3 linked regions of the Canis lupus familiaris genome follow. The protein of the gene in region 3 purifies or fractionates together with the protein of the main gene of each other region. This does not show direct contact. Links are inferred from orthologs where the notes say so. Each region holds a gene or a part of one and is shown on either strand. Other genes may lie near its edges.

Region 1 (9,084 bases), on a different chromosome or scaffold from region 3:
GAGGTGCCCAGCAGAGAGCAGCTGGTGCAGCAGCCGCCCCATATGCTCACGAGCAATGGTGCTGCGCTCCAGTGTTGACTCAATGCCATGTCGCACAAAGATGAAGAGCAGGGAGGGTGAGGCCAGCTCCTGTACACACTGCACTGCCTCCTGCAGGAGTGTGGGCAGGAGGGAGAGGGCAGTCACTGTCTGGTCCTAACCCCACACTCCATGCATGTCAGCACATGTCCCTCCCTGGCCACCCTGCTGTCACTGAGACACCTCCCACTGCCTACCTTCATATCATTGAGATGGAGATATTCCTCAATGATGGCCTTGGATTTCTTCTCCAGCTCTTCCTCAGAAAGCGCAGCTTTCGGGGGACTCACTGGGGGCAGGGTGGCTTCTCGCTTCACTGAAGGGGGGAGAAACAGATCAGAGACTCTTCAGTTCCAATTTTCCTAGCAAGAAAGACCTGGAGCTCTGAAGACTGGAGGCTGGCTAGTCCCAAACCCACACCTTACCTTTCCCTTCCTCTCCCGGTCCCTTACCGGCATCCCGCCCACGGTCCCGATCCTCTGTGAGGCTAGCTGCCTTGCGCAGTCCCTCAGGCTGGGAGGGCCGCTCTCTACTTCGCTCCTCCACTTCCTTGCTGAAGCTCCGCTTGGTGGCAGGTGTCCGAGAGCGATCGAGGCGGTCCCCACGGTCACCTCCCCGTTCACTCCGCTCTAGGCGGTCTCCCCGGTCCCCAGCTTTCTCACCTCTTTCCCGACTCAAACTACTCCTGGAGAAAAAACAGGCATGTCACCTCTCACCTGTACTGCCTAGGCACTCTCCTGTAGAACTTTCCAACAAGCTCAGCAATCATCAGGCATAGTTCCTGGAATCTGGAATGTGCCCCCATCTAGCCATGGACTATGAGCATTACAGATGTGAGGATTCCTATGGCAACCACCAAAGCCCAATCCCAGTACTCCCCACGTGAAAAACAAAGACACTCGCAGGGGAAGCCTCACCTCTGTACCACACGTCTGCTGTCTGTGCTTTCTGTAGGTACTGCTTGTTGAAGGGCTGAGAAGCGGTTCAAGGTACTAGTAGCTGGACGAGCAGCTTCTGATGCTGGGGAGGCAGAAAGCCCACATCAAAATCTCTTCCTACTTTCTTCCATTCCATCTCCTACTCGCCAGTTTAGGACACTTGGTCCTACTCCCAACATGAACACAGTTCATTCAGTCCCCCTCGTCCCAAGCATAAGCCTCCTGTTATTACCCAACCACTTTATACAAAAGCCTCTCCTACAAATAAGGCTCTGCCCTCAAATAAGAGGATTCCTAGGCCCCCAGCTCCTTACGATGGCCTCAAGTACCTGCATCAGAGGGCTTGGCTCCTGAGCCTCCACTGCTGCCCTTGCCCCAGCTCAATCGCCCTCCAGGTGCAAAGAGCTGGTTGTTAGAATCAATGGAGCCAGGCTGTGGAAGGAAACGGGAGTGGAGTGGAGCATCAGTCTGATCTGGCCAAAGCCCATAGCTACACAGTAGCAAATGGCATAGACCAGGAGCCAGGCAAACTTTTCCTCTAAAAGGCCAAATAGTAAATACTTAAGGCTTTGCATATCATATAGTTTCTATTTCAACCATTCCACATGGCCACTGTAGCACAAAAACAGTCACTCGCAATACTTAAGGGGAATGAATTTGGTCATGTTTTCTAATAAAATTATGCATGCTGAAATTTACATTTTGAGTAATTTCATTACTCAAATCATCCATTTTATTTTTTTCAACTGTTAAAACTGTAAAAGCCGCTTCTTAGCTGTGGAATGTAGAGAAGGAATGGGACAGATCTGCTGTGCGAGTTTGCTGGCCCAGACAGATGTGAATACATCTTCTTGAGCTGGCAGTCCTGTCTCTAGGAGTCTAACCAGTTAGTCCAAGAGGAAAGCCATCACCTTTTCAACCTCAGAAGTAAGGAGATGAAGATCCAAATCTATGTTCAATGCCAACTGATCCCTCTTTTCCCTCCAATGACCACTACCACTAGGTAGTGACACCCTCCAATACGCCCCCCTACCTTCGTGATCTTGGTGAGTCGTGAGGTGTCGATAGGGCGGCTGCCCTTGCTGATGGGGACTGTGTTCCAGCCACCATCATCCACAAGTGGGAGGCCACGACCTGGGACAAAGAGTATATTACAATAATGAGTAACTCCTAGCCCCCCGATCACCTGGGGCTACCCCCAGACCCCCTTCCTCAGATCCTCAGTTCCATCATGTGGTCTCAGTGGCCCAGACACGTGGCACTAACAAGAAGTCATCAGTGGAAAGTTTAACCCCTCACTCTGCCCCCTCGTAACCGGAGTCCCAAACTCACTAATGGGTGGGCCTGGAGGGCCACCCCGACGCTTGTCACTGCCCTTGGCCATTAGCTGCTGCACTTTTACGTGCTCCCAGTGCTCCTCCATCTCAGCCTCCTTGTGGATCTGGTCAATGGTCTTGGGACCCTGGTCCCCACGGCGTGGCACCCAATTGCTCTGTGGGGACAGAATGCCAGTCACAAGATAATCATATCAGAGGGCCAGACCAAGCAATGTTGGATACGCATACAGGCAGCAGACCAGCAGTGAGAAGGAGAGGACACACACCCGTCGCAGATCCAGCACGTCTTGCAGCATAAAGCGGATTCGGGATGAAGTCTTCTTTTCCTTAATGATTTTTTCCATCTGGTTGAAATACTGATCCATTCGGGGCTAGGAAGAAGCAAAAGGATCAGGTCAGGAGCTTGTGACACCTTACCTTCAACTGTAGGCCCGGCCCCTCTTTAGACCCTCAGGTCCATCACTGTAGCTCGATGACTCACACCCGGCAGCCCAACAAGGAGTCTGTCAGTGGACAGCAAGCCCCAGGCACTTGGCACTTCAGCCTGTCCCATTCCCCAACCCAAGACCCTCACCTTGGCTTTTTCAAAGTCCAGATCTTTGCCAATGGTAGTGAGCAGACGACAAAGGCATTCAAGGGACTCTTCATCATGATTCTTAAGTAGTTTAACCACACAGTCATGCATTATAGCCTCTGTTAACATCTTCAACTTAAACAACTCCCCAATAAACTTGATATTCCCTAAAGAGCGCCGCCGGGCTATGTCTCGAGCCTCTTCCAACTCTTCCTTCAAGCGTCCTCGTTCCTCTGCCTGACAGTTATAGGACAAAAATCCATCAAAAAGGTACCTAGCCACTGGGCTAAAATCCTTCTCTCCACTATCTAGATTCCTAACCCCAGCAGCAAGTATTCCTGTCTTAAGGCAGAGAAAATCCCCAAAACACCATCACCCCCAACTTCCATTTACTTCCCCACCCCCTATTCTATAGCAAAGTAGCATCTGGGTGGACTGTGGGGTTGGTGGGTTTTCTCTCACCGTGGCAGCTTCATCCATCTCTTTTTGCTTCTTCTCAAAAACCTCATCATCATCTTTGTCTTTTTCAAACTCTTTCTGACATCGATTCAACAACAGTTTTCGGAAGTTCACAGTCACCGTTGGCTTTTCTGTAGTGGGCACTTTCAGCTGTATGTCAAAGAGAGTATCACGTTAGTCCTGAGCAGGTAGGCCCTCCAAAAGTCTTTAGCTATCTAACCCAGGAAGATCCTCAGCTCCCACTCTGCCACCGCCTGGCTGCCATTAACAGCGCAGGCTGGAAGAGAACCAAGAAGCTGGACTCAAGGAGTCTTAGGAAGAGAAGTAGGAAACTAGACCACAATGTTTAGTAACAATGGAAACTAACCGCCATGAGGCAGCGGCACATGTTGGCATAGGCCACAGAGAAGTTGGGCTCTGAAATGGCCTTCTCGAAGATGAGGTCAATGACCCCTTTGAGGCGTTCCTCGGTGTCAATGGCCAGCTGCGTCACCTGCTTCATCAGCTGCTGGAACATCTGGGGTGTCAGCTTATTCAGGATGGAGCGCACCCTGCGGAACAGGTCCTGGTAGAGGGAACAGAGAAGACACAATCCAGTGAGGTTCTCAGAAGAGGTCGCTGGGAGGGATGAGAGAATGGTAAGGACTCAGATACTGGTGATAAGGAAGACAGAAATGAAGAGGACAAAATTGGCTCAGAGGACAGACTTTGAAGAGAAGACATGGAGAGCAAAAACAACACTGATCATTACCTGGGTTTTGCTGCCATCAGCATCCTCTTCCCCTCGATCCTTATCAGCGGCTGTCCGCTTGCTGCTGGGCTTCCAGGCTTTCTCTGCTTTGTTCAACTTTATATCTTCAGTCATTAACACTGTGGCAATGATCTTGCGGGGTTCCTTTCGGGGGCCTTGCTGAGAGCGCCGGGGTCCCAGACCAGCCTGCTAAGCAAGGAGTGAGGACGAGTGAAGACACAGAGCTAGTCAGCACAATCTGTGACACCGCCACCACACATCACTAAGGCAAATATCCTCCTTCTCCCCAAAAGACAAAGGAGCCATCCCCCAACTACCCTTGACCATCCGCCCCTCTCACCAGTCCCACTCACCGGCCCTCGGGGCAGCTCCCCACCTGGCCCACCCCTTGGGGGCCCACGGTTGCTAAGGGCTGGTCGGCCAACGTTGGCAAAGGAAGGGATGAAGTCTGGACCACAATTTATGCCTTGAAGTTTCGTGGGATCCAGTGGCCGCAGTGGTGTTTTATTGGCCTGCAAAGAAGACAGGGAAGGCATGAGAAACAGACTAGGGCTCTTGACTACTCTTTCAGGACCTCAGGCTCCTCCCCTAGCCAGCCAGCCCCAAATGACTCCTCCCCCTCAAGCCTACCAACCTTATCCAACACCACATCACTGATATGGGGCAATCCCTCCGGCTTCTGCATACTGGCAAAGATGAACTGAAAGCCAAGCAGGAACTCACGGTCATAACGCTTTTTCTCCTCAAGGTTTAGAGGCTTCCACTGATCTACGAGGAAGACGAGATGAGCGAATCATACCTTTGTCTCCCGGGGCCCTGGCAAGAATACCCAACCCTGCTCAGCCCTTCCTTCAGCATACCTGACTTATACTCATACTTCTGTTCCCCGGGCTGGATGTTCTCAGCATTGTGAATTTTGTCTTCCTTTGAATCCCAGGTCTCGTCTGCTTCCTCAGGCCTCGGCGGTCCACTGCTGCCCTCAGGCTCCGGGCCAGGACTGGTGCCAACAGGAGGCTGATTTTCCACTTCTGGTACTCCTGGGCTCACCTGTAGGTCACACGTAGGACACGTAGGATATTTCATTTTGGTTGCAGTATGACTAGTGTTCATACCCAAACTCTGTCCTCTCCCCTCCATTACTTTCTGCTCCTTTACCTCCTTGAAGGCATCTAGAAGGTCTCCCACAGCCTCCTTCTTATTGAGCTCCTTAATTTTCCGTCTCTTCTTTGGCACAGACACCGCCACTATTTGGGAGGTTAAAAAAAAGAAAAAAAGTGGGAATAATTTATGGAGTACCCCTACTCCCTGGGGAAATAAAAAGCAGCAGCTACTCCACAGTATTTCATCTTTCCATCATACCCACCCCAGACTATTAAAATCCCTTAATCTTGGAATTTTATCTCTTAGGTTCATCAAAGGGTTTCTATGACCCAGACACAGTGCCACACAATTGAGAGATCATCAATGAAAAGAAAGAAAAAACAAAAAACAAAAAACACCTTTCAGCCCAACCCACTTGCACCATCCAGCCACACCTTACCTTGGGTGGTAGCTGCTGCCTCTAAATTCTGAGACAGGTGGGCTGCAACAGGGGTGCTCTCTGGGGGGAGAAGTTCCTCTCCTCCCTTCTGAGCCTCAGCATCTCCAGCTTCTCCTTCTTCCTCCTCTTCTTCCTCTTCCTCCATTTCCTCCTCCTGAGCTGGGGAAGTAGCTGGAGGAGCCATAGCTGGAGTGGCAGAGAGGACGGTGGGGGGAGCCACTGATGCTGTAACCTCCTTGGCCTGCTCCTTTGGCTCACTGACTGGGCTTAAGTCCACAGCTGGTGGCGAGGGGGCTCCGTTGAGCAGTTCCTCAGGTTGGGCAGTTGGAGCAATGGGCGTGGGGGATTCGGAAGGACAAGCTGGGGGAGGGAGAGGAGCAAGCTCTGGGCTCGACTCCACCTCTGGTTCCAGATCCTCAGATGGGACCATGCCATTAGGTTCAGGAAGAATTTCCTCTTTGTGAGATGCAGAGGGAGTGGGAACCTGGAGAGGACTGGAAGAGAACTCAGATTCTGGAATCGGTTTGCTAAGTGTCACTTCTACTTCCAGTATGGGTTCAGCGAGGGGAGTGGGTTCTGGAGAGAGGCAATATGGCTCCCCAGTTTCACGGGGCATGGGGGTGGATTCTTCTACAGACATTTGGATCATCCCCGTTGTCACAGTGTCCCCAGGAATGGAGAGGACTGCGAGATTAGGCTCAGACCCCGGTTCCAAGATTGGGGGTGGTGATGGGGTCGGACAAGGTGATGAAGGCTGGGATTCTGAAGGGCTGTGTTCTGGGCCAGGCAACCCCGGCCGGCTCCCAATGATTGCTCCCTGGGACCGGTCATCTACACCACAGGAAAGACAAATCATTAAAGGCAGGTCACTACTTTTTTCCTCCTCCTGCCAGCCAAGACATTCCCAGCCTAATACCCCTGCAACATTCTCCTACCTAAGGCCTTTCCCCTTCTCACCCCAAATCTGGCCCACTTGCAAAATCCCACTACCTAAAACCCAAGTCATTCTTCTCTGGCACCCAGGTCAAGTTACTCTACCTCCTTAGCATTTGAAATAGTCACACTCCTTTTCCCCATAAAAGCTCTGCCCCACCTGCTTACCTACCTGGCCGGACAACAACAGCAACCTGGGGTGTCTCCCCATTAGCTTGAGGCTCCAGACCACCTCCCGTCTGCAGGACACAAAGGGTTACCAAAGTTTGCCCTGAAGAGGCCCACAACCCTTCTCTATTAGAGCCATTTCTACTTTCACTCTGCCTAAAAATCCACGGAAAACAGGGAAATAAATCCTTTCATTGAAAGAGAAGATCAAAGAACGTGGGAACTCAGGTCAGAACAGCCATCCTAGGCAAGAGCCTCGCTCAAAGATCAGACAATACCTGGGGAGGGGTGGGTGTGGAGGCGGTGCGGGCCCCAGACATGATCTCCTCCGTGATATCCTTCCCTCCTTGGTTTGGATCTCGAATTCGGATCTGGGGAAAGAAAGCTCCGGGATGAGTGGAAAACCAGGAGGAGCCCACCTCTCCACCCTGCCCCACTCCTAAGACTCTAGGCCAACCCCCCACCCCCCACTGGGTAGCAGGTGGGTGGGTGCCAGAAACCCCATGAGTTCTACTGTTAACCCATCTAGCTAATCTTGTACTCCCTACCTTGGCCCCCACCCCTAAGAGACTCTTGACCTCACAGAGCAGTCCTGTACATCACAATGCCCCTCCCTCCCTCAGCCCTGCGCCACCAGCAGTCCCCAAGTCACTGGCTGCACACCATGGGGCCCAGGACCCCCATCTAGCACCCAAGCAGCTCACTTGTGGCTAGTCGGCCTGATCTCTGGGGGCAGGGCCCAGATCCAGTGGGTGGAGCCAGGGTGACTCAGCGGCTTCCCCAGCCCTGGCACCCTATTCTGGGCACCACGCCCAGGGCTTGAGGATTGAGCAGAGGCGGAGGCCTCAAGAGCTTCCAGGACTGGGAGGTGGGGGGTGGGGCCACAGAAAACAAACCATTTCCAAGACAAGCCACCAGAAACCCAAAACCAAGCACAGATCTTATGGACCCCCAGAACCTGGGTCTCTCAGGAACTCCTGCAGCACTAGCCTCCTCAGTCTTCCCATGAGCTACTTCTACACTGAAGTCTTAGTACCTTACAAAGAATCTGAGCGCTTCACAAACCTCCATTCTCTAACCACTCCCAGCTGAAGCTCTCCTTCCTCAACTTTCTGCTCCCTGACCCACAATGCGCTTGACCTTGATTCTCCCTTTCCCAGATGTCCCAGAGCCCCTTGCTGTTACTCACGGTCTTCCGCTCCCTCTTGGGAGCAATCTGGGGTGGCTGGTTCATCAAAACTGAGGCGGGGGCCACACCAGTGGGAAACTGCTGCACACCCTGGGCTGGGTAGTAGGCGCCAGCTTGAGGGGCAGGGGGACAGACACAGAAATGAAGAATGGTGGCAGCGTCAGGGCCCAACCATATACAAATGCCTGCTTGAATACCTCACACCTCCCATCTCAGAACCTCTCATCACCCACAGTCGGCCCCTTGCCCTGCCCCACCCGCCTCCCCAAGGGATTTAGGTGTCTATCAAAGCTGGGGAACCAGTCTGAACTGCGTTTACAAGAATTCCTGACACTGCCATACACACACCTTGTAGGCAGGCACTCCTTCTCCACCACATACCAGCTACCACTAGCAGGACTTCTGTTTCTCTTCTACCCTAGAAGGTATTATGTATGCCCCCCACCCCACCCCCAGCAACACACACACATGTATTCTGAGGGAGCAGTAACTACTTAACCTGAAACAGAATCAGGTCTTTGGCTGGGAATGAGAAAAACAGATTTGCCAACCCTGTTCCACTCAACCTGAGTCCAGTTCCAGTCTCCAGCCCTTTGCTAAGGGGCAAGGAAACAAAGAGTAACATTATGAACCAGGCCCAGGATGTGGAAAAATTAATTCCTTAAAGCAATGGTCTCCAAAATGGGATGTGTTCTTTAATCTCATCCATAATCTCCACTTGTTTTTGACAAGGAACATTAAGTGTGTTGTTTAAATGATGCATATGTATAAACAAACAAAAACATACATGTATTAGAGGTACATACTCAAAATTTTTCCTGATAGATGATCAAAAAATTTTGGAAACCACTGCCATAAAGAACAGACTAATCCTTTCCTAGAATATAAATGAAAAACAGCTACAAAAACTTCCCAAATTCACGTTACATGGGCTCCCACCAACCACGGAACAAGTGTCACTGGGAATGTTTATTAACAGGCCCCTCAAACTTGTATCTGATCCTATATTCTTTGGCATGGCAAGGAATTCCAACTCTCATCAATAGGATAAAATGCTCCCTGCTCCACCCCCCCTACGCACCCAACACCAGTTATATATTAAGCACCAATCTCTACT
Region 2 (9,799 bases), on a different chromosome or scaffold from region 3:
GCATTTCAATGTAGAAGAAACTTAAGTATCAGGAATTACTTCTTCCAAAAGTGCCCCAACAACTGATCTTCAAGAGGCTGTATCTATTCCCCACCTTTTCTGACCAGCTGATGATGACTTCTTCTTCCAACAGATCTGCATCATACATCTCCTTTAAGATATGGGGAATCTTGGAAATGAGCTGAGCTTGATGCATTGCTACCACACACTCCAAACCATGAAGAAGGTACCGTTGAGCTTTTTTGTTGTTGTGACAAAACTGGAAACAAACATGTTGATATTAACAAACTTTTATTTTTATTTTTTTTAAAATTTATTAATTTATTTATGATAGTCAGAGAGAGAGAGGCAGAGACACAGGCAGAGGGAGAAGCAGGCTCCATGCACCGGGAGCCTGATGTGGGATTCGATCCCGGGTCTCCAGGATCGCGCCCTGGGCCAAAGGCAGGCGCCAAACCGCTGCACCACCCAGGGATCCCGATATTAACAAACTTTTAAAGAAGTTTTAAGTATACTCATCTCTCAAAATTGTTCCTTAAGGCTACGGGCTTAAACAGTGGTTCAAGTTCAAAAAGTCAATGCATAAAATCTATGCATTACTCTCTAAGAGACTATTATACAGCATTTTCTACTTAGTCCTATGCTTGATAAGGTAGGTCAATTATCTCTCGCTTTAGGATGACAGACATCTTCCCAGGGTCATTCAACTCTAAATCTCACAAATTAATTCACTTACTCGTAGGAAATGGCGCCTGTATTTCTTAATTTGTTCTCTAATCTTCTCATTAAAAAGAACTTCAGTCAAAACAAGAGGACCCATAGCTTTTACATCCAGTCTTTCTGCTTCAGCAACAATTTCTTTGTCTGACGAGTCAATAATACCTTCTTCTTTCTTTTTCTGCAAATAAAGGGAGCAATTCAGCAAAATGGAGACACATTTTGCTCTAGAGATGCTCATTCCTCCCCGCTTTCAGACTTTTCCCATTATAGCTTCAGGATTTTTTAGTTAATATGCACATGCCAAAGATAGTACCTGGAAGCACTGCAAAAAGTAATTTCAGTAAATAAGTTTGAGTATTCAAAAGACATCATGAGGAAAAATTATGTGCCAGATCACAAATATAAAGTAATAAATATCTTAAAACCTCAAGACTTGAGGGTGATTAACAAAAAAATGTTTAGCTGCTCTTGAAGTTCTTACCTTCACAAAATCAAACAGAATATTGACCCGCTCTTCTACAGTCCTTTCCAAATCATCACTGAGTGTTAGAACTTTTGCATGATCACTGATTTCATCCATTCTTCGTCTTTGAGCTTCCTCAGTCGTATCCTCCCCCCAATCATCATCCTCCTCTTCTTCCTGTCAAGAACAGCATTGTTGTCAAATGCCTCAAAAACGCAAAAAAAACGGGATCCCTGGGTGGCGCAGCGGTTTGGCGCCTGCCTTTGGCTCAGGGCGCGATCCTAGAGACCCGGGATCGAATCCCACGTCGGGCTCCCGGTGCATGGAGCCTGCTTCTCTCTCTGCCTGTGTCTCTGCCTCTCTCTCTCTCTCTGTGTGACTATCGTAAATAAATAAATTAAAAAAAAAAAAACAAAAACCCCAAAAAACATTCCAGATTTCTAGTCACGTTAATGGCACTGGATTTATTTTCCATAAATATTGGACTTACCTACAGAACCAGGAACCCAAGGTATCATTGCAAATTTTTTAAAAGATTTATGAGAGAGAGAGAGAGAGAGGGAGGGAGAGGGAGAGGGAGAGGGAGAGGGAGAGGGAGAGAGAGAGAGAGAGAGAGAGAGAGAGGGAGGAAGAGCCAGAGGCGGAAGGAGAAGCATGCTCCATGCAGGGAGCTTGACGTGGGACTGGATCCCGGGACTCCAAGATCATGCCCTGGGCCAAAGGCAGGTGCTAACTGCTGAGCCACCCAGGGATCCCTGGTATCATTGCAGTATTAAAATGAAGATAGGGGGCAGACCCGGTGGCGCAGTGGTTTAGCGCCGCCTGCAGCCTGGGGTGTGATCCTGGAGACCCGGGATCTAGTCCCACGTCAGGCTTTCTGCATGGAGCATGCTTCTCCCTCTGCCTGTGTCTCTATGAATAAACAAAATCTTTTAAAAAAAATAAGTAAATAAATAAAAAAAAAATAATAATAAAATGGATGATAGGGACACCTGGGTGGCTCCATAGTTGAGCGTCTGCCTTCAGCTCAGGGTGTGATCCCAGAGTCCCAGGATCAAATCCCACATTAGGCTTCCTGTGGGGAGCCAGCTTCTCCCTTTGCCTGTCTCTCACGAATAAATAATAAAAATCTTTAAAAAAATGAAGATGACTTTCCTTATTTCTGCCCCCACTCAACTCAACTTTGGTGCCCACCACCCTCATCCCTGCACTCACCGCAGCATGTGGAGGAGGACTGATCTCATTTGGTGGTGGGGGTGGGGGCGTCTCACTGCTGGACACAGAACCATTTTCCTTGTCCTTGCCTTTCCGGTTTTTCTTTTCCTTTTCTTTCTTCCCTGTACCACTGTCACTATTCTCTACAGGAGAACAAAAAAAGAAACAAAAAATTTAATAGTTTTATCACAGCTCACTATTTCTCATAAACATTTAAAAACCTTGCTCCCTTCTGCTTTGGAATCTTCCCTTGAAATCCATATACATACACAACGCTACTTGTAATTCTAGTAGGATTTACAGACCAAATTTATCCACTATCATTTCCTATATAAAAAATTCAGGGTAAGAATGAAATGTCCCAGAATAGTAGAGGCATTCACTGTTCAGTAGGATTAAAATGAAGTGATGATGTCTCAGTAGACCAGATAGTGAAGGTTGGCACTCCTGACCCTCTCATCCCTCATATACCCAAATAACAGTACATCTCAAATGCACTTTAAGTAAAAGCTGGAACGTTGTTTAAGTCTATATAACAGTTGGTCTCATTGAGGAGAACACTGGAATAGGTTAGACTTTCTTGCTATAGCAAGCTCAAATTGTGTCAGACAACTTCCATCATCTGCCACAGAGTGTTGCTTGCAATGTTCTAAAGCCAGTTAGGCTTAATGAGTCAGGACCCTCGTTCACAAGAGTATTACAGGAGATCCTTTGCTGGAATTGCACAATTTGTTTTACACAAATCTATTTCTTCCTAAGTGACCAGTCTTAATTTGGCAGCCTGTTCTATCTTTAACAGTACATCTTTCAAGGTAACAGATCCAACAGATCAAGGCACAAAAATAGGAAATTCCTTATCTTCTAGTTTCATAGCAGTAAAGAAACTTCTGCTTTGTTTCCAGCAATCAATTGCTTTACTGTTAAGTTCTTACAAGTTGATCATAAAGACTCACCAGGTGGGTTTTTGAGAATGAACGTGCAGAGTTTATGATGTGTGTCAAGCATGCCTCGATAGCCACAGGCTTTACAAGAATTACCTATTGTTTGCTTCTTTGGATTGACATGCTGCCAAAAAAGGGGTAAAGACAAGTGTTATCTTTGCCCTACAATAAAATTTTGCAAAAAACAAAGTGTTGAAATACTTAACTATGTAATTCCAGCCTAACATACAAAATTGTTTTTAACAAAATGATCTACTTAGAAAAGCCAACATTGAAAATTTCTAAAAAATTTGCTGCTTTAATTTCCAACTAAATTTGCGATCTCTTAAACTAAATTTGGTAATATCAAAGGACTGATCACAAAAGCAGGTGTAGGTTTTCCTCTTTCTGACAAAAATCTCAAAAAGGACTCACCAGCTCTGTTTCAGGATTCTCACACTCAGGACAAAGAACAAATTTTTTAATGAATCCATCCAACATGTCTTGCAGCTTATTCGCCTCATGAGATCCATTGACAATGTAACGGTCATTCTTAACATCAAACTGGGTCTGTGCTCCCAGCTCACAACCAAAATATTTGGTGGGATCTATGGCGGGGTGGTGGAAGGGGTGGGGGAGAAAATTAAGTTTTTGACTGACTCACCCTCCTACAAATAACACTTTTGCTACTTCTACACAGCTAAAAATATGTCTTACTTGGGTAGTTTTGTTTACTAATAGCAACTAACACATCAGTTGGGTTTTCAAGCCCAAAATTCCACTTAACCCTGAAACAAACTATCATACAAGTCAATCAAGAGGGCAGCAGGGATGGCTCAGCGGTTTAGTGCCGCCTTCGGCCCAGGATGTGACCCGGGAGACCCGGGATTGAGTCCCACATAGGGCTCCCTGTATGGAGCCTGCTTCTCCCTCTGCCCCTATCTGTATCTCTCATGAATAAATAAAATCTTAAAAAAAAAAAAAAAAAAAAAAAAAAAAAAAAAAAAACCCAACTCAATCAAGATACACAGATTGAAGCTTGTCACGATCATATCCATAATATGCTTTTTCAAACTCCTCTTAAGAAGCATTACTTACACGTTGGAGGCCGATTAAGCGCCTTTGCAACGTCAACCATGTTGACTATAACTGTCTTGATACCATTTCCTTTGCCCTCAACCTAAGGAAAAAAAAAGCTTTAATTTTGCATTATCTACCTGAGGAGATGCAGTCTTTAACAATCTAGGAAGAGAGCTTAGGTTTCATTACTAAAATGAAGATCAGCATTAATTACCTTGGCAATCAGACGGGGCATCTTGTAGCGATAGAACTGGTCTGACACACTGCGGTTGACATTGACAGACATTTTGGCTTATTAGTGGCTTTATCAATAAGATGAAGAGATCTTTGATTGCAACTTTTTGGTATCTTCTGTCTGGAGAAGAAGGGATGACATAAACGACTGCAAGAGTTCTCGGTCTCTGACATGAAAAAATTTTCGCCACTGAGGCTGTAAGCTTCTTGCTTGTATGCTATGTTTCCCCAATACAGGTACCAATGGCTGCGCAACAGCTCTGAAAGAGAAAGGAAAAGCACACACAACCCCCAACGTTTAACGTGATTCCCGCAGGAGGAAACCTCCCTCCGCCTCCCAGTTAAGGACGCCTCGTTCTGCCACATTAGGAAGCATCACAGTTCACGTGAGAAGCTAACATTCTCCTCGAACACAGAACACCTGTCGCAATCTAAAGGGCCTCCAGCTGGGAGCTGCCAGACTTCCCACGACGAGCAGCCCGGCTTCGGCTGCCTGCCCGGGGTTTACCCCGAAGCCCACACCACCCGCCCGTCCCAGGGTTGCTTCGACGGAGCGGCCATGTTCTAACAACCGCCGTGGAGACGAAGGCAGACCCAGGCTGGGTTTTCGGACAAACTTCGCAGCCTCGACCCCCGGCCCTGCCGCCCCCCGGCTCAACACCGAGCGCGCCCCTGAAGGAGCCCTGCCCCAATCCGGGACTCGCGGTCTCGCGGGAGTGTGCACGGACCGCCGCCGCTCCGCCCCGTCCCCGCTCTGCGCGCAGTCAACCTTCGCTCCGGTGCCCATGGCTACCGGCCGCTCCGCCCGGGGCAGCGACCCCGCCATGCGCGCCGCGGGAAGCGAAAGCGCCAAGGGGCGCCGGCTCGGGCCGCCCCCGCCCCCGAGCGGGCGATGACTCATGAATGCAGCAATGGGGCCTGAGTCAGCCCGCGCGGCGCGCTCCCGCGGGGCGGGGGAGGGGCAGGGGCCCGGCGGGGAGGGGGTCGGGGCGGAGGGGCGGGGGCGCGGGCCCGGGCCGGGGCGGAGGGCTGGGCGGCGGGGGCGCGGGGCCCGCCCGCCCGAACTGCGCCACACGCGCGCGCGGGTCACGCGGCGCGCCGCCATCTTGTGCGGCCGCCATCTCCCCGCCGGCCCGCCCGCGGACTCACCGTTTTCGTCAAATAAAGACATAAACCCAACGCTGCTCGCCCGGGACTGGGATGAAGTGAGGCGCGTGTGAACCCGAGTCCGAGGAGGGGCGGCGGAGGCGGCGGAGCAGCGCAGCGAGCAGCGGCCGGGCCAGGCGCCGCCGAGCAGCGGGGAGGGGCTGTCCCAGCGACGTCCGGGGTCCACACCCTTCAGCGCCCGGGGCCTGGCGACCTGGCGCGGAGAGACGGCGCCGTGAGCCGCGGGCGTCGGGGCGCCTTCCCCGCCAGCCAGCGGCCCGCGGGGGTCGAGGGGGCGGGGAGGACTGGGGAAGGGGCGCGGGGCCGCCGCCCCTCCACCGGACTCACCTCTGGAATGTTCTCGCTCTGACTGAACAACGCCGCCGCCGCGCTCAAGCTACCCTCAGCCCCAGCGCCCGCCCCCCGCGCCAGGCCGCACCGCTCATTGGCCTGAGGCGCGCCCGAGCTCGCTCGTGATTGGTCCACGTGCCGCGTCAATTGCGTCTTTCTCCGCCCCTCCTGCTTCCTAAGGCTCCGTTCGCCGCCTCAGCCCGCCCCCAGTCCCCGGGTCCCGGATCTCTTCCCTTGCCCTCCCCTCCCCCGCCCGTCCCAGAGGCCTTCGCGGTCTCGCGAGAGCTGCAGGCCGCGGCGGGAGCTGGCCGCGGGGCCGCGCTTTGTCGGTTTGGGTGCGGAGGGGAAGATGGCGGTTGGCTCCCCTCCCCCGCCGCCTCGGCCTGGTCTCGTTCCCGCCGAGTTCCTCTCGCGGCGGGCGCGCAGCCTCGCCCGGGGGCGGGGCGGGGGACGTCTTCCCTGCCCTTTCCGCCCCTTGGGGGATGCCGGTAGCCGGGGCTCGAGGAGGAAGTTGTTCTTCCTCCCCGCTCCCTGGGCCTGGGCCTGGGCCTGGGCGGCCGGTGGTGGTGGGCGGGCCCGGGTCTTTCATCCTGAGCGCTGCCTCCTAAGCTCCCAGGCCGGGGTCCGGATGTCACCTCGGGGGGGGGCGGGGTCGTGCTGCGGGCCTGGGCCCGCCGGCCTGGCTCTCTCCCCGGCCCCCCGCCTGCAGGCCTGGCGGGGCTGGGCGCTCCCGTGCACCCGCCTTCTAAAGAGGCGGACCCCAGGACCCTCCAGAAAGCGCGTCTGGGAAGAGGCCCCCGGGTCCTCGTCCTCCACAGTAACTTTGCTCAAACGAAGCATCTCATTGGGTTCCAATTCCCCGCACCCACCTCTCGGGGGATCCACCGCGGCTTCCTTGCTGTGGGCGAAGCACAGCCCAAAGCAGGTGTTCCTAATGAGGTCGCATTGCCTGATCATTTAGTGATGTTTTCATCCTGTTGAAGCGATTGCAGAAGCTCTCCCGTTCTTTCAGAAACTCATTTTTAAGAGTTTGAGTTGCTACCGTGAAAGCGCACCGAGTCCACCCTGAAATCCAGCATAGCTGGCTGTGGTAAAACCAGGAACCGTAGGATGGGGATGGGGTTCTAATCCACTCCCTGCGGTCTCTAAGGAGCCCCCTAGCCCTCAGGGCCAAGTGTGCCCGGGCTGCAGAAAGTAGCAATGTTGTTGAGGACAGGGTGAGGTGGGTAAGGGGCTGCCCTCTTTGAGACCAATTAAATATGCAAGAAAGTTGGAACCGAAGGGTGCGTTGGTTTTTATTAAACTTCAGGATGCTGGGGATCCCTGGGTGGCGCAGCAGTTTGGTGCCTGCCTTTGGCCCAGGGCGCGATCCTGGAGACCCGGGATCGAATCCCACATCGGGCTCCCGGTGCATGGAGCCTGCTTCTCCCTCTGCCTGTGTCTCTCTCTCTCTCTCTCTCTCTGTGACTATCATAAATAAATAAATAAAATTTTAATAAAAAAAAAAAACTTCAGGATGCTCTTCCATGATTTGCAAGCTTTATACCCCATTTTATTTTACTTTATTTTTCTTAAATTTTATTTTTTATTGGTGTTCAATTTGCCAACATACAGAATAACACCCAATGCTCATCCCGTCAAGTGCCCCCCTCAGTGCCCGTCACCCAGTCACCCCCAACCCCTGCCCTCCTCCCCTTCCACCACCCCTAGTTCGTTTCCCAGAGTTGGGAGTCTTTATGTTCTGTCTCCCTTTCTGATATTTCCCACACATTTATTCTCCCTTCCCTTATATTCCCTTTCACTATTATATTCCCCAAATGAATGAGAACATACAATGTTTGTCCTTCTCCGATTGACTTACTTCACTCAGCTATACCCCATTTTAAAACTGACAGTGTGGGTGGGGAGGTTCATAAAAGGGCCATCTGAAAATAAATAAATAAAAGGGCCATTTGGAATTGGGCAAAGTGATTTGTGTCTTTGCTATAGGAGCTTATGTTATCACACAGTGTGTGTGTGTGATCGTACAATGGTGTACGATCGTTAGACGAAATGCATAATGTTTTATGGGCACCAGGGTTCCCATCTGAGCCACAGAAAAGGTAGATCCCAGACAAGCTGCTTCTGGTTCACCATGAAGCATGATTTAGCAGTATTGAAACTTTGAAGTTTTTGCATGCAAATGACATTTTAGAAACTCAGAAAATATGGAAATGAAACTAGTCTGAGGCAACGGGCTTGCCTTGTCAGAATGATTTTTAATAAAGCTAAATACAAGGTGAGTGATTATTATTTGGGGGGATTATGTTTGATGGCCCCATGTTTAACTTCATTTAAAAAGTTTGTACTGGGATCCCTGGGTGGCGCAGCGGTTTGGCGCCTGCCTTTGGCCCAGGGCACGATCCTGGAGACCCGGGATCGAATCCCACGTCGGGCTCCTGGTGCATGGAGCCTGCTTCTCCCTCTGCCTGTGTCTCTGCCTCATTCTCTCTCTCTCTCTGTGACTATCACAAATAAATTAAAAAAAAATTTAAAAAGTTTGTACTAATTTTAACTTTAATTTTTAGCAGGTGTGCTGCTCATTTGTATCTAATCAGGGACAGATTTTTTTTTTTTTTTTTAAGATTTTATCCATTCATTAATGAGAGACACAGAGAGAGAGAGGCAGAGACACAGGCAGAGGGAGAAGCAGGCTCCATGCAGGGAGCCCAACGCGGGACTTGATCCTGAGTCTCCAGGATCAGGCCCTGGGCTGAAGGTGCCGGTAAACCACTGAGCCACCCGGGCCGCCCCCTAATCAGGGACAATTTTTAAAAATTACTCTTAACCGTACTATTTTTTGAATGCTTCTCATAGCCTAGGAATTTACTAGGTGATTAGAATACACTTTCTAGCCCCTAGGAAGAATTTTTCTTCCTGTTTTACAAATGAGCAAATTGAGGCTTAATGGAAAAAATTAAGCAACTTGCCCAAGATCACACACTAGTAAGTGGCAGAGCTGGAATTTAAACTGAGATCTGTCTGACCCAGAGTCTGTTCCCTTAACCATTACATGACCCAGCGTTCACGAGTAAATGTAAACATACATAAGTCTGGGCAATTTACATGTATAATCTATTTTAATCCTTTAACGATCATGTAAGGGAGTGTTTGTTGTTATTGCCATTTTACAGGTGAGGAAAGAGTCAGGAAGGTTAATTTTCTCGCAGTCACCTGTCTAATAAAATGGTGGGTAGTGTTTGAACTCTAGCTTGACGCCAGGATCATCACACGATTCCGCCTCCTACTTCTGGCCTCCACCTCATTTGGCTGCACTTCTTCCAATCAGGCGCTCACAGTTTGATAAGTAATAGGTACTTGGTACCTCTGAAACTGTTGTCAGGTGAGTGCCTGAGTTATGCATTTCAGCACATGCCTTGGACAATAGGCATGTATAGCTGCTGAAAATGTAAGTTTGTAAACTGGCCTTACAGTTGTTAGGTATTGGTGTCTGTTCTGTGTAGCATGAATTTGCCCCCTTGAGCAAGATCAAGCCTGTGTGGACTGAGGACCTTGTGTTCCTGAGCTGTGGGCCACTGAGGGACCAGGACATTGCCCTCTGTGATGGGTCGTCCGGTTGGACAGCTGGTCTCTATGACATCCTTGTCTTAGCTATCTCTAACCTCCAGCA
Region 3 (9,582 bases):
CATAGGGAATAATCAATGATATTGTAATAACTTTGTATGGTGGCAGGTGGTGACTGCACTTTTTTTTAATAAAGATTTTATTTATCTATTCATGAGAGACAGAGAGAGAGAGAGGCAGAGACAGAGGCAGAGACAGAGGCAGAGGGAGAAGCAGACTCCCCTCAGGGAGCCTGATGCGGGACTCGATCCCAGGGCCCCTGGATCACGACCTGAGCCAAAGGTAGACGCTCAACCACTGAGCCCCCCAGGTGCCCCATGACGATATTTCTTGTGGTGAACACTGCATTGTTGGATCACTATGTTGTACACCTGAAACTGATAAATGTCTATGCCACCATAAAACAAAATTCATATGTTCATTTTAACTTTTAGAGTATGTCAAATTTCCATCCGAAAAGTTCACAAAATTTCATGCATTAATATATGTGCAAGTGTTTCTTTCTCTACATCTTCACCAGCACTGGATAATATCAAAATTTTTTTGTTTTTTGTTTTTAATTTATGATATGATAGTCATATCAATTTATTTTATGATAGTCACACAGAGAGAGAGAGAGAGAGAGGCAGAGACACAGGCAGAGGGAGAAGCAGGCTCCCTGCGGAGAGGCTGATGTGGGACTCTGATCCCGGGGCCTCCAGGATCACGCCCTGATGCCGGGTCTCCAGGATCACACCCTGGGCCTGCCCTGGGCCAAAGGCAGGCGCCAAACCGCTGAGCCACCCAGGGATCCTCAGATTCTCAACCTTTTTACATTATTGCCCCTCTAAAGGAGAAAAGTGGAATTATTTTTAATTTTAAAAAGCTTTTAAAGATTTTATTTATCTATGAGAGAGAGAGAGAGAGAGAGAGAAGGAGCAGGGGAGGGGCAGAGGGAGAGGCGACTCTGCTGAGCAGGGAGCCCGACGCGGGGTTCAGTCCCAGAACCCTGAAATCATGACCTGACCTGAAGGCAGAAGCTCAATCGACTGAGCCACCCAGGTGCCCCTCTTTAAATTTAATTTCAGGGCAGCCCCAGTGGCTTAGCGGTTTAGCGCTGCCTGCAGCCTGGGGTGTGATCCTGGAGATCTGGGATCGAGTCCGCGTCGGGCTCCCTGCAAGGAGCCTGCTTCTCCCTCTGCCTGTATCTCTGTCTCTCTCTCTCTCATTCTCTGTGTCTCAAATAAATAAATAAATAAATAAATAAATAAATAAATCTTTAAAAAAATACATCTAATTTCAATCCAGTTACATTTAATTTCTCCCTAATGATAGAAAGTAAATACTTAGGCATAAGATTTTGTCTAGGAGAGTTGCTTTTGGAGAGCCACCAGCCATTGTAATAATATTCAAGGTGTTTTGCTACCCAAGAATTCATTTTAGCCCCCTTGGGAGCCACGAGGCTCCCACTGAGAATAATACCCTACAGGGACGGCTGGACAATAAACAAGTGAGTGGGAAGGATTATATCAGAGAGCCAAGAATGTTGCAAAAGAAAGGAGGAAGAGGGGCAGAGGGGCCCTCTGACATCTTGATCATTTGAATCAGGAAAACTCTTCCCAGACCGGGAAGTCCAGCCTGGATTCTTCACCACCTGCCACCATACAATTTCTTCAGAAAATTATAATTTCCCCCTCACAGTGCCTGGCCTACAATAAGCTCTCGAGAAGTGAGCTTTAGTGTTATTAGTACCTTTAAATTTTTTTTTCTAAAAACTGGATCATTTATGTGTCTGTTCCTTTTCTTTCTTTTTCTTTTTTCTTTTTAACTGGGGTTCCATTCATTTAGTCCTATTGTTCATGGACTGCTACTTTGTATATAAAACATGTAGAGATCATTTAAGGTTTTGGGCTCCAGAGAGGAATTACTTCTGCTCTCTGGCATAAAATTAGAATAGGAGAAGGTCATCTTTTTTTTTTTTTTTAAGATTTTATTTATTCATGAGAGACACAGAGACACAGGCAGAGGGAGAAGCAGGCTCCATGCAGGGAGCCTGATGCGGGACTCATCCCGGGGCCCCAGGATCACGCCCTGGGCCGAAGGCAGGCGCCAAACCGCTGAGCCACCCAGGGATCCCGAGAAGGTCCTCTTAATTCTTGAATCTGGACTAGCTAGTCCCCTTCCCAAATCTTATTTTTGATATTTGTATTATTTTTCACTTTGCCCATTTTCATAACATTTACATTCTGTTCTGTGCTCATGACCTCCTAATTGTTTAGCGTTCATTCTAGTTATAAATGGATTCATTGTTCAGCACTATTCACTATACTCACATTTTTCTATTTCTGGTTTATGTATTATTATTCATCTATGAGTTAATTAGACTTCATCATTAAGCACTGTCCTTATTCTTTTAATAGGGTCCTTCCATACATTCTCTCATATTTGAAAATGTGCACAAGTCACCTTTATATTCAACTGATATCTTGGTCTTGATACTTCTGAGTCATAGTCCGCTCGCAGTTTTGTGCACGTTGCTCCATTGCCAACTGGCATGGAATGCTGGTGTGGCAAAATCTTAGCTCAAACTGATTTTTCTCCTTTGTTGGTGATTTTTTTAAAATTTTTTATTTATTTATGATAGTCACACACACACACACACACACACACACACACACACACACACACACACACAGGCAGAGGGAGAAGCAGGCTCCATGCACCAGGAGCCCGACGTGGGACTCGATCCCGGGTCTCCGGGATCACGCCCCGGGCCAAAGGCAGGCGCCAAACCGCTGCGCCACCCAGGGATCCCTGTTGGTGATTTTTTTTTTTTTTTTTTTTTTTTTTTTTTTTATGATAGTCACAGAGAGAGAGAGAGAGAGGCCGAGACACAGGCCGAGGGAGAAGCAGGCTCCATGCACCGACCGGGAACCCGATGTGGGGTTCGATCCCGGGTCTCCGGGATCACGCCCCGGGTCAAAGGCAGGCGCCAAACCGCTGCGCCACCCAGGGATCCCTGTTGGTGATTTTTTAAAAATAAATTTATTTTTTATCGGTGTTCAACTTGCCAACATATAAAAGGTGAAATGAATGGAATGAACGAAGGGAGGTGCCACGGCCGGCGCCTCCGCCTCCGGCCGCAGGGGGCGCTGTGGGCGCTGCTGCCGGGCTGCTCTGGGCCGCGGCGCAGGAAGTCTCGTCCTCCCCCCACTTCCGGTCTCTGGCCCGGGACTTGTGCTGCGTGGAGGAGGTTTTGAAATGCCGACCGGAGATTTTGAGTGAGTCGAGGGTCGCGGAGCGAAGCCTGGGAGGCGGCTTGGGGGCCGTGGGGGCGCTCCTCGGGGCCTGGCCTCGCTGACCCAGCCTTCCCCTCCGCCACCTTGCCCTTGCAGTTCGAAGCCCAGCTGGGCCGACCAGGTGGAGGAGGAGGGCGAGGACGGTGAGTACGCCGGGTCGCCCCGGGTCACGGGCGCCTGCGCCGAGCCGGGCACCGCCGTCCGGTGCCGCATCTCCCCCCGCGCCTCCCGCCTCCCGCCAGCCTGTCGCCACTTCCAAGTGTCCGGCTGGCCGGTCCCCCCGCTCCCTTGCCACCGCCCAAGCCTCACAGCTGCTCCGGGGAGGAAGCTGTAACAGCCAGCCTCCTGCTTGGGTGCGAGCGCCGGATGTCTTTATGGGCTGCCCCTCGCTTTCATCCTTGCCATTGCGCGAGATTACTCAGCCAGCGCCACGGCCTGGCACGGCTAGCCCAGGGCACTTGGTCCCCAGGCCTAAGCCCTTGGCCCTGCCGTCTAGGCCCCTGGTGTGGGCGTCATCCCAGAAGTCCCTTCATTTTAGCTTGGGAGCCCTCGCCCCTCCAGCTCACCCCTCCTACCCACACTCCCCTTCCTAGACAAATGTGTCACCAGCGAGCTCCTCAAGGGGATCCCTCTGGCCACTGGCGACACCAGCCCAGAACCTGAGTTAGTGCCGGGAGGTGAGTGACGCCCTCAGCTCCACTCGGGGCTCCCTCTCCCCAGCAGCATTCCCCTCCCCCTCCATCACCCAAGGCTCAGTTACTTCCCCTCTTCTCTCTCCCAGCTCCACTGCCGCCTCCCAAGGAGGTCATCAATGGGAACATCAAGACAGTGACAGAGTACAAGATAGATGAGGATGGCAAGAAGTTCAAGGTGAGGCTGGGGGAGGAGTTGGGGGCCCCTTGGCCCGGAGGGGATGGTGTGTGTGTTGGGTAGGTTGGGTTGATTAGCTCCAGAGCCTTGAAACACAGGAATTCGGAGCCTCTCCCCTCCCCTCCACAGATCGTCCGCACCTTCAGAATTGAGACGCGGAAGGCCTCCAAGGCTGTTGCAAGGAGGAAGGTGAGACGCTTCTCCTCTTGTCTTAGAGGCTCTCCCAGGGCTGGCTTGGAGGAATTAGGAATCCTTTTTGTTGACAGCGTTTTGATCTGATACCTTTATTTTTAGAAGTGGGGTTCAACTCTGTCTCTATTCTGTTGGATCAAGGGGGTTTAAGGTTGAGGGGTGTTTGTGCTCTGTTGGGACCCTGAAAAGTCCAGGGTGCAGAAGTTGGGTGGTTTAGATTAACTCCGCTCAGCTTGTTTACTTGTTTACCAGAAGGAACAGAGCCAAGCCCTCCCCTCAGGCGGTCATAGCAGCTCCTGTTTAACTGGGCTACATGCTTAGGAAGAAGTGATAGCTGTAAATAGCATTGGCACAATTTTCGGTGGACTTCCTCTGTGCCAGACCTCAATGGCAAGTGTTTTGCAGGAAGTGTTTTCTCATTTGCTACCCCTAGCCGTCCTGGGAGGTGGGGAACATTTGAGGTCTCCATTTTAAAGGGGAGGAAGCTGGGATCCCTGGGTGGCTCAGCGATTTATCGCCTGCCTTCCACCCAGGGTGTGATCCTGGAGTCCTGGGATCGAGTTCCACGTCGGGCTCCCTGCACGGAGCCTGCTTCTCCCTCTGCCTGTGTCTCTGCGTCTCTCTCTCTCTGTCTCACTCTCTCATGAATAAATAGATAAAAATCTTAAAAAGGTGGGGAAGAAAGCTGAAGCCTAGGTTTTTTTTTTTTTTAAAGATTTTATTTATTCATGAAAGACACAGAGAGAGACTGAGGCAGAGATATAGGCAGAGGGAGAAGCAGGCTCCGTGCAGGAAGCCCAATGTGGGACTCCATCCCAGGTCTCCAGGATCACGCCCTGGGCTGAAGGCGGTGCTAAACCGCTGAGCCACCCGGGCTGCCCAAGCCTAGGTTTTTTTTTTTTTTTTTTTTTTTTAAGCCTAGGTTTTTTAACTATCTCAAGGCCCCTCACAGTCTGGGTGACCCCTGGGCGTCACTTCCTTATGGGAGCTGGCCCACCTCCTGTCATGGGTGCCTCAGGAATGGTTAACTGTGTGACTGTTTCCCCCTGGGCCTTGGTTCTCTCCTCTGGAACTTGGGCTGAGAGCCGTCCCCACCTCCTGGAGCTGGCCTGAAGCTAGCGGCTAGCACATGCCAGGAGTGGTACACGCTAGGAAATGGGAACTGTCGTTGTCACCACTTTTGGGAGACTTGGGGGAGGGAGAAGAATGTGGTTCAAGGCTGAAACACCCTGAAGGGAGGGCTTTTGTAGGTCGAGTGGTGGTGGGGGTCCCACTTGCCCTTACAAGTCCCCCATCCCGCCCCGAGCCCAGAACTGGAAGAAGTTTGGGAACTCGGAGTTTGACCCACCAGGGCCCAACGTGGCCACCACCACAGTCAGTGACGACGTGTCCATGACATTCATCACTAGCAAAGAGGTGAGTTGGGCAAGGGTCTGGGCCGGTGGCTGTGATGGTGGTGGCCAGGGTGTGGCAACCCTGCTCTGACTGCCACCCCCCCCCAGGATCTGAACTGCCAGGAAGAGGAGGACCCGATGAACAAGCTCAAGGGCCAGAAAATCGTGTCCTGCCGCATCTGCAAGGGCGACCACTGGACTACCCGCTGCCCCTACAAGGACACGCTGGGGCCCATGCAGAAGGAGCTGGCTGAGCAGCTGGGCCTGTCCACCGGCGAGAAGGAGAAGCTGCCCGGAGGTGCCTGGGCCTGGGATTTGGCTTGGCGGACCACGGGGTGGGGCGGGTTGCGTGCACCTCTGGGAGTGTCCTCGGTCTCCACCCGCTGCTGTGAACGGGGCTGTCCGCATCAGAAGTTGTCCTCTCTCACTGGCACCAGCGCTGCCAGGCTGTGGTCTGTGTGAGTGTGCGAGACCAGCGGGGTGGTGCCAAGACTGCTGGTAACACCACCGTTGTTCCGTGTTGGGCTGGCGAACCGTTCCTTTATGGGTCTGGCTGCGTGTGCTTGAGACTTGGAGCTGTGATTCTGCTGCAGACTCTGTGATCAGACTGGAGTGTGCCTTGTTTGCCACAGAGGGGACCATGGCCTGTGTGCGTGGGTGTGTGCACGCACACGCGCAGACTCGCACATGTGACTGCAGCCTGTGTCCATGTCCTTCAGTGTGATTTGCTGATAGTGGGTTGACTCTGCAAGTTTTACAGCTGTGATTCGGTGTGCAGCACATTTGTTAGCTGCCATGAGTGTGGGGCCCGGGGGCTGCCCCTGCATGTTCCTGTGTTCTTCTAGCTCTCAGCCCTGGGGCTGCCAGTGGGATCTTGCTCTGACTTGCCAGATGTGACCTTCATGTCCTGGCGGCCAGTGGAACAAACCAGATACCTGTGGCTTGATAGACGGTGCCTGGGCTGGGTCAGGGCCAGAGCTGCCAGCGCCCTGGGGTGGATCTGTCCCTCACCTGTGCCAGGGTGAGGCCTGACCCAGCTGCTTTGGTCTGCAGAGCTGGAGCCCGTGCAGGCTGCCCAGAACAAGACGGGGAAGTATGTGCCACCGAGCCTGCGGGATGGGGCCAGCCGCCGTGGCGAGTCCATGCAGCCCAACCGCAGAGGTGAGTGGCGGGTGGGCACCTCTTAGTCCCATGGTCATCCTTCATTCAGGGCCTGGTTAGGGCTGTCCTCTACAAGCTGTCGCTCCTTGCCTGTGTAGCCGACGACAATGCCACTATCCGTGTCACCAACCTGTCAGAGGACACTCGTGAGACTGACTTACAGGAACTCTTCCGACCCTTTGGCTCCATCTCTCGCATCTACTTGGCAAAGGACAAGACCACTGGCCAGTCCAAGGTGGGCGGTGGCTGTGGGGATGGGTGATGGGGTCACCTGTCCTAGTTGTGCCCTAAGGGCCTCTGACTCTACCCCCACTCCTCCAGGGTTTTGCCTTCATCAGCTTCCACCGCCGTGAGGATGCCGCACGAGCCATTGCTGGGGTGTCTGGCTTTGGATACGACCACCTCATCCTCAACGTTGAGTGGGCCAAGTAAGACCTGTCACACCCCTGCCTCTCCCCACCTCTTCGCATCCCACACTCAGGTTGACTGTGGGCCCCACGTTAGTTTAATAGTCCCCAAGCCTCTTCTGAGGTACAGGTTATTTAAGGTCTTTTTTTTGAGGGGGGGCCTTCTACCCATCTGGCCATGTGTGGGCTCTGCCCTCCTGCATTGTCAGAGACCCCAGTTGTATGTGGCAAAGGGTCTTGGAATGCCCTTTGGGTTCTGGAGCCCTCACACTTGGTATCCTCATCACCTGTCTCTCTCTCTTAGGCCATCAACCAACTAAGCCAGTTGCCATGTTTGCTGCTGCTGTCTGGCCCCGGCCCCAGGACCCCATGGCCTTAGGAGGTAGCTCCCGAAAGCAGGGGGCTCTTGGCAATAAAAAGGCTCCTGTTGTCATATGTTGTCTCGTTTATTCACAGATGTCACCCACTCTTTGGCTAGAGGGGCCAGCCCTCTTTAGGATCAGTGCTGTAGGCAGAAGTTCCTGCCACTGTGGCCTGGCACTTGCTGGTCCCCGAACAGGTCTTTGTGTAGGGGAAGAAGTGGTGGTTTGGGGCCTTTGGCAGTTCAGGGCTTGTTAGTGGCTCAGGGCCAGGAGCCTCTTGTGCTCTTGGCCCCCATTCTGCTGCTGGTCTCAATGCCTTGTGGTGAGGAAGTGGCTCAAAATAAGCCAGGTCATGGGCTTAGCTCAGGGGACTAGGGCTCCACGTTTTGGGGGGGTTGCTGTAACATTGAGGGGCAGGACTTGGCCAGAGTTCCCCGTGTCCTCTGGCATTTGGCTATTGCTGCAGCTGCAGCAGCTCTGGTGGCAGCACCCCAGGCTGGGTGCCACAGCCATATAAAGCAGTGGGTGGATGCAGATGGCCAGAGGCATGAGGCCCCGCATTATCTGGTGGGTCCTATAGGTCATTTGATCCACTGCTGCCTTGGCCTCATTCAAGCTGGCAAAGCCTGGGCAGCGGGCCCTCCATCGCTGCCGAGCTTGCACGTTGAGCACCTGTGTGATGTAGTAGGGCACATAGGAACTGGCATAGAGGGCCAGGCTGCTGGCCACCAGCGCTGCCACACGCAGCTTCTCGGCAGCAGTCATGCCGTGGCTGCGCAGCACGGCCCATCCGAGGGCACTGTAGGCTGTCAGGGTGAGCAGCAGCGGCACGCCGCAGCCCAGGACCGCCAGCACCAAGGTGTAGGCTCTGTAGGCCTCGAGGCGGAGGTCATCTGCCATCCCCAGGCACTTGGTGCAGGCCTCAGGCCTCTCTGTGACACAGCTGCCTTCCCTCTGTGGCCTTTTCAGGTGCGAGAAGCTGAGCGTGGGTGCAGCCAACAGGGCTGCCAGTGCCCAGCCAGCGGCACTGACGGCCCAGGCGTGCTTGGGCCGCCAGCTGCTGCGGGTGAAGAAGGGGTGGACGATGCCCAGGTAGCGGTTTAGGCTGATGCAGGTGACGAAGATGACGCTGCCCAGCAGGTTGCAGGTGAAGAGGAAGCGCTCCAGGCGGCACGCGAACTCCCCGTACTGCCAGTTCTTGGGCGGGTAGAAGTAGGCGGCCAGCGGGAGCAGCGTCAGGGCATAGAGCAGGTCGCTGATGGCCAGCTGGGCTGAGAAGACCACGGCGGGGTGCCACGGGCGCTGCTCCCGCGTCACAAAGCGGTAGAAGGCCAGGCCGTTGCTGGCCACAGCCACCAGGAACTCAACTACCAGCATGGGGCACAGAAAGGCTGCCTGGAAACGGCTGAACTCACGGTCAATTTCTACTGAGAAGTTGGCTGAGCAGGTCAGAGCACCTGTGGGCAGACGGTCCCCAAGTGAGCGCAGTTCCTCCTCACATGGCTCGAGACCTTCAGAGCATCTACTCTGTGCCTGGTCACAGGCGCCCTCTGGGGGCACATGCTCCTGTCCTTTCTGAGCCCGGGAGGGGGCACCAGCCACAGCAACTCTAGGGTGCGAAATCCGGCCCAGAAAGGTCAGAAGCGCAGAGTGCTTTCCTGTGGTAATTACTAGGCTTGTCTGCGTCCTTGAACCCTCAGGAAGATGGGGGAAGGGGATCACTGCCTTCACAGGATGCATATAACCCAGCAGTGACAACCCGGAATGGGTGGGGTGGGGGTTCATGAAGGGGAGTCCCCTGCTGCAACTTTCAGAAACCATCACTTCCTCAGCACCATCAGAGGCAAGGCCTCCCAGCTCCCGACTTCACCCCCCATATCTCTTCTCCTCCCAGACGGTGCCCAGAGTCAGGTCGGTGCCCAGAGTCAGGTCGCATTCCTTGCCCTCGCACCTCCCTCCTCGCTGGCAGAAAAGGGCAAT

Evidence for each region.
Region 1: the proteins of EIF3G (region 3) and EIF4G1 purify together in Homo sapiens (affinity purification with mass spectrometry; 3 studies listed by BioGRID, with this or other methods). This does not show direct contact. The link is inferred for Canis lupus familiaris from reciprocal best matches to the Homo sapiens genes EIF3G and EIF4G1.
Region 2: the proteins of EIF3G (region 3) and EIF5 purify together in Homo sapiens (affinity purification with western blotting; 3 studies listed by BioGRID and IntAct, with this or other methods). This does not show direct contact. The link is inferred for Canis lupus familiaris from reciprocal best matches to the Homo sapiens genes EIF3G and EIF5.

The regions. Positions count from the first base shown.
Region 1 is NC_049255.1:17,368,081-17,377,164, reverse strand, and holds part of EIF4G1 (eukaryotic translation initiation factor 4 gamma 1), read right to left. Parts: intron 8,793-9,084; exon of another isoform or gene 8,774-8,792; intron 8,081-8,773; coding exon 7,968-8,080; intron 7,150-7,967; coding exon 7,057-7,149; intron 6,850-7,056; coding exon 6,783-6,849; intron 6,509-6,782; coding exon 5,678-6,508; intron 5,608-5,677; exon of another isoform or gene 5,537-5,607; intron 5,382-5,536; coding exon 5,293-5,381; intron 5,185-5,292; coding exon 4,998-5,184; intron 4,906-4,997; coding exon 4,772-4,905; intron 4,650-4,771; coding exon 4,491-4,649; intron 4,327-4,490; coding exon 4,138-4,326; intron 3,952-4,137; coding exon 3,754-3,951; intron 3,537-3,753; coding exon 3,390-3,536; intron 3,165-3,389; coding exon 2,928-3,164; intron 2,725-2,927; coding exon 2,620-2,724; intron 2,509-2,619; coding exon 2,349-2,508; intron 2,301-2,348; exon of another isoform or gene 2,225-2,300; intron 2,151-2,224; coding exon 2,050-2,150; intron 1,449-2,049; coding exon 1,346-1,448; intron 1,099-1,345; coding exon 996-1,098; and 6 more.
Region 2 is NC_049229.1:71,503,186-71,512,984, reverse strand, and holds the start of EIF5 (eukaryotic translation initiation factor 5), read right to left. Parts: upstream 6,276-9,799; 5' UTR 6,127-6,275; intron 5,993-6,126; 5' UTR 5,782-5,992; intron 5,426-5,781; exon of another isoform or gene 5,402-5,425; intron 4,893-5,401; 5' UTR 4,685-4,892; coding exon 4,613-4,684; intron 4,499-4,612; coding exon 4,417-4,498; intron 3,927-4,416; coding exon 3,754-3,926; intron 3,464-3,753; coding exon 3,352-3,463; intron 3,040-3,351; exon of another isoform or gene 2,916-3,039; intron 2,542-2,915; coding exon 2,399-2,541; intron 1,361-2,398; coding exon 1,202-1,360; intron 899-1,201; coding exon 737-898; intron 260-736; coding exon 95-259; intron 1-94.
Region 3 is NC_049241.1:51,335,957-51,345,538, forward strand, and holds EIF3G (eukaryotic translation initiation factor 3 subunit G), read left to right. Parts: upstream 1-3,083; 5' UTR 3,084-3,178; coding exon 3,179-3,198; intron 3,199-3,312; coding exon 3,313-3,359; intron 3,360-3,809; coding exon 3,810-3,893; intron 3,894-3,997; coding exon 3,998-4,086; intron 4,087-4,215; coding exon 4,216-4,275; intron 4,276-5,589; coding exon 5,590-5,694; intron 5,695-5,780; coding exon 5,781-5,970; intron 5,971-6,725; coding exon 6,726-6,833; intron 6,834-6,931; coding exon 6,932-7,068; intron 7,069-7,154; coding exon 7,155-7,261; intron 7,262-7,544; coding exon 7,545-7,560; 3' UTR 7,561-7,675; downstream 7,676-9,582. Other genes in the region: P2RY11 (P2Y purinoceptor 11), read right to left, coding at 7,966-9,059. UniProt on the Homo sapiens protein: RNA-binding component of the eukaryotic translation initiation factor 3 (eIF-3) complex, which is required for several steps in the initiation of protein synthesis.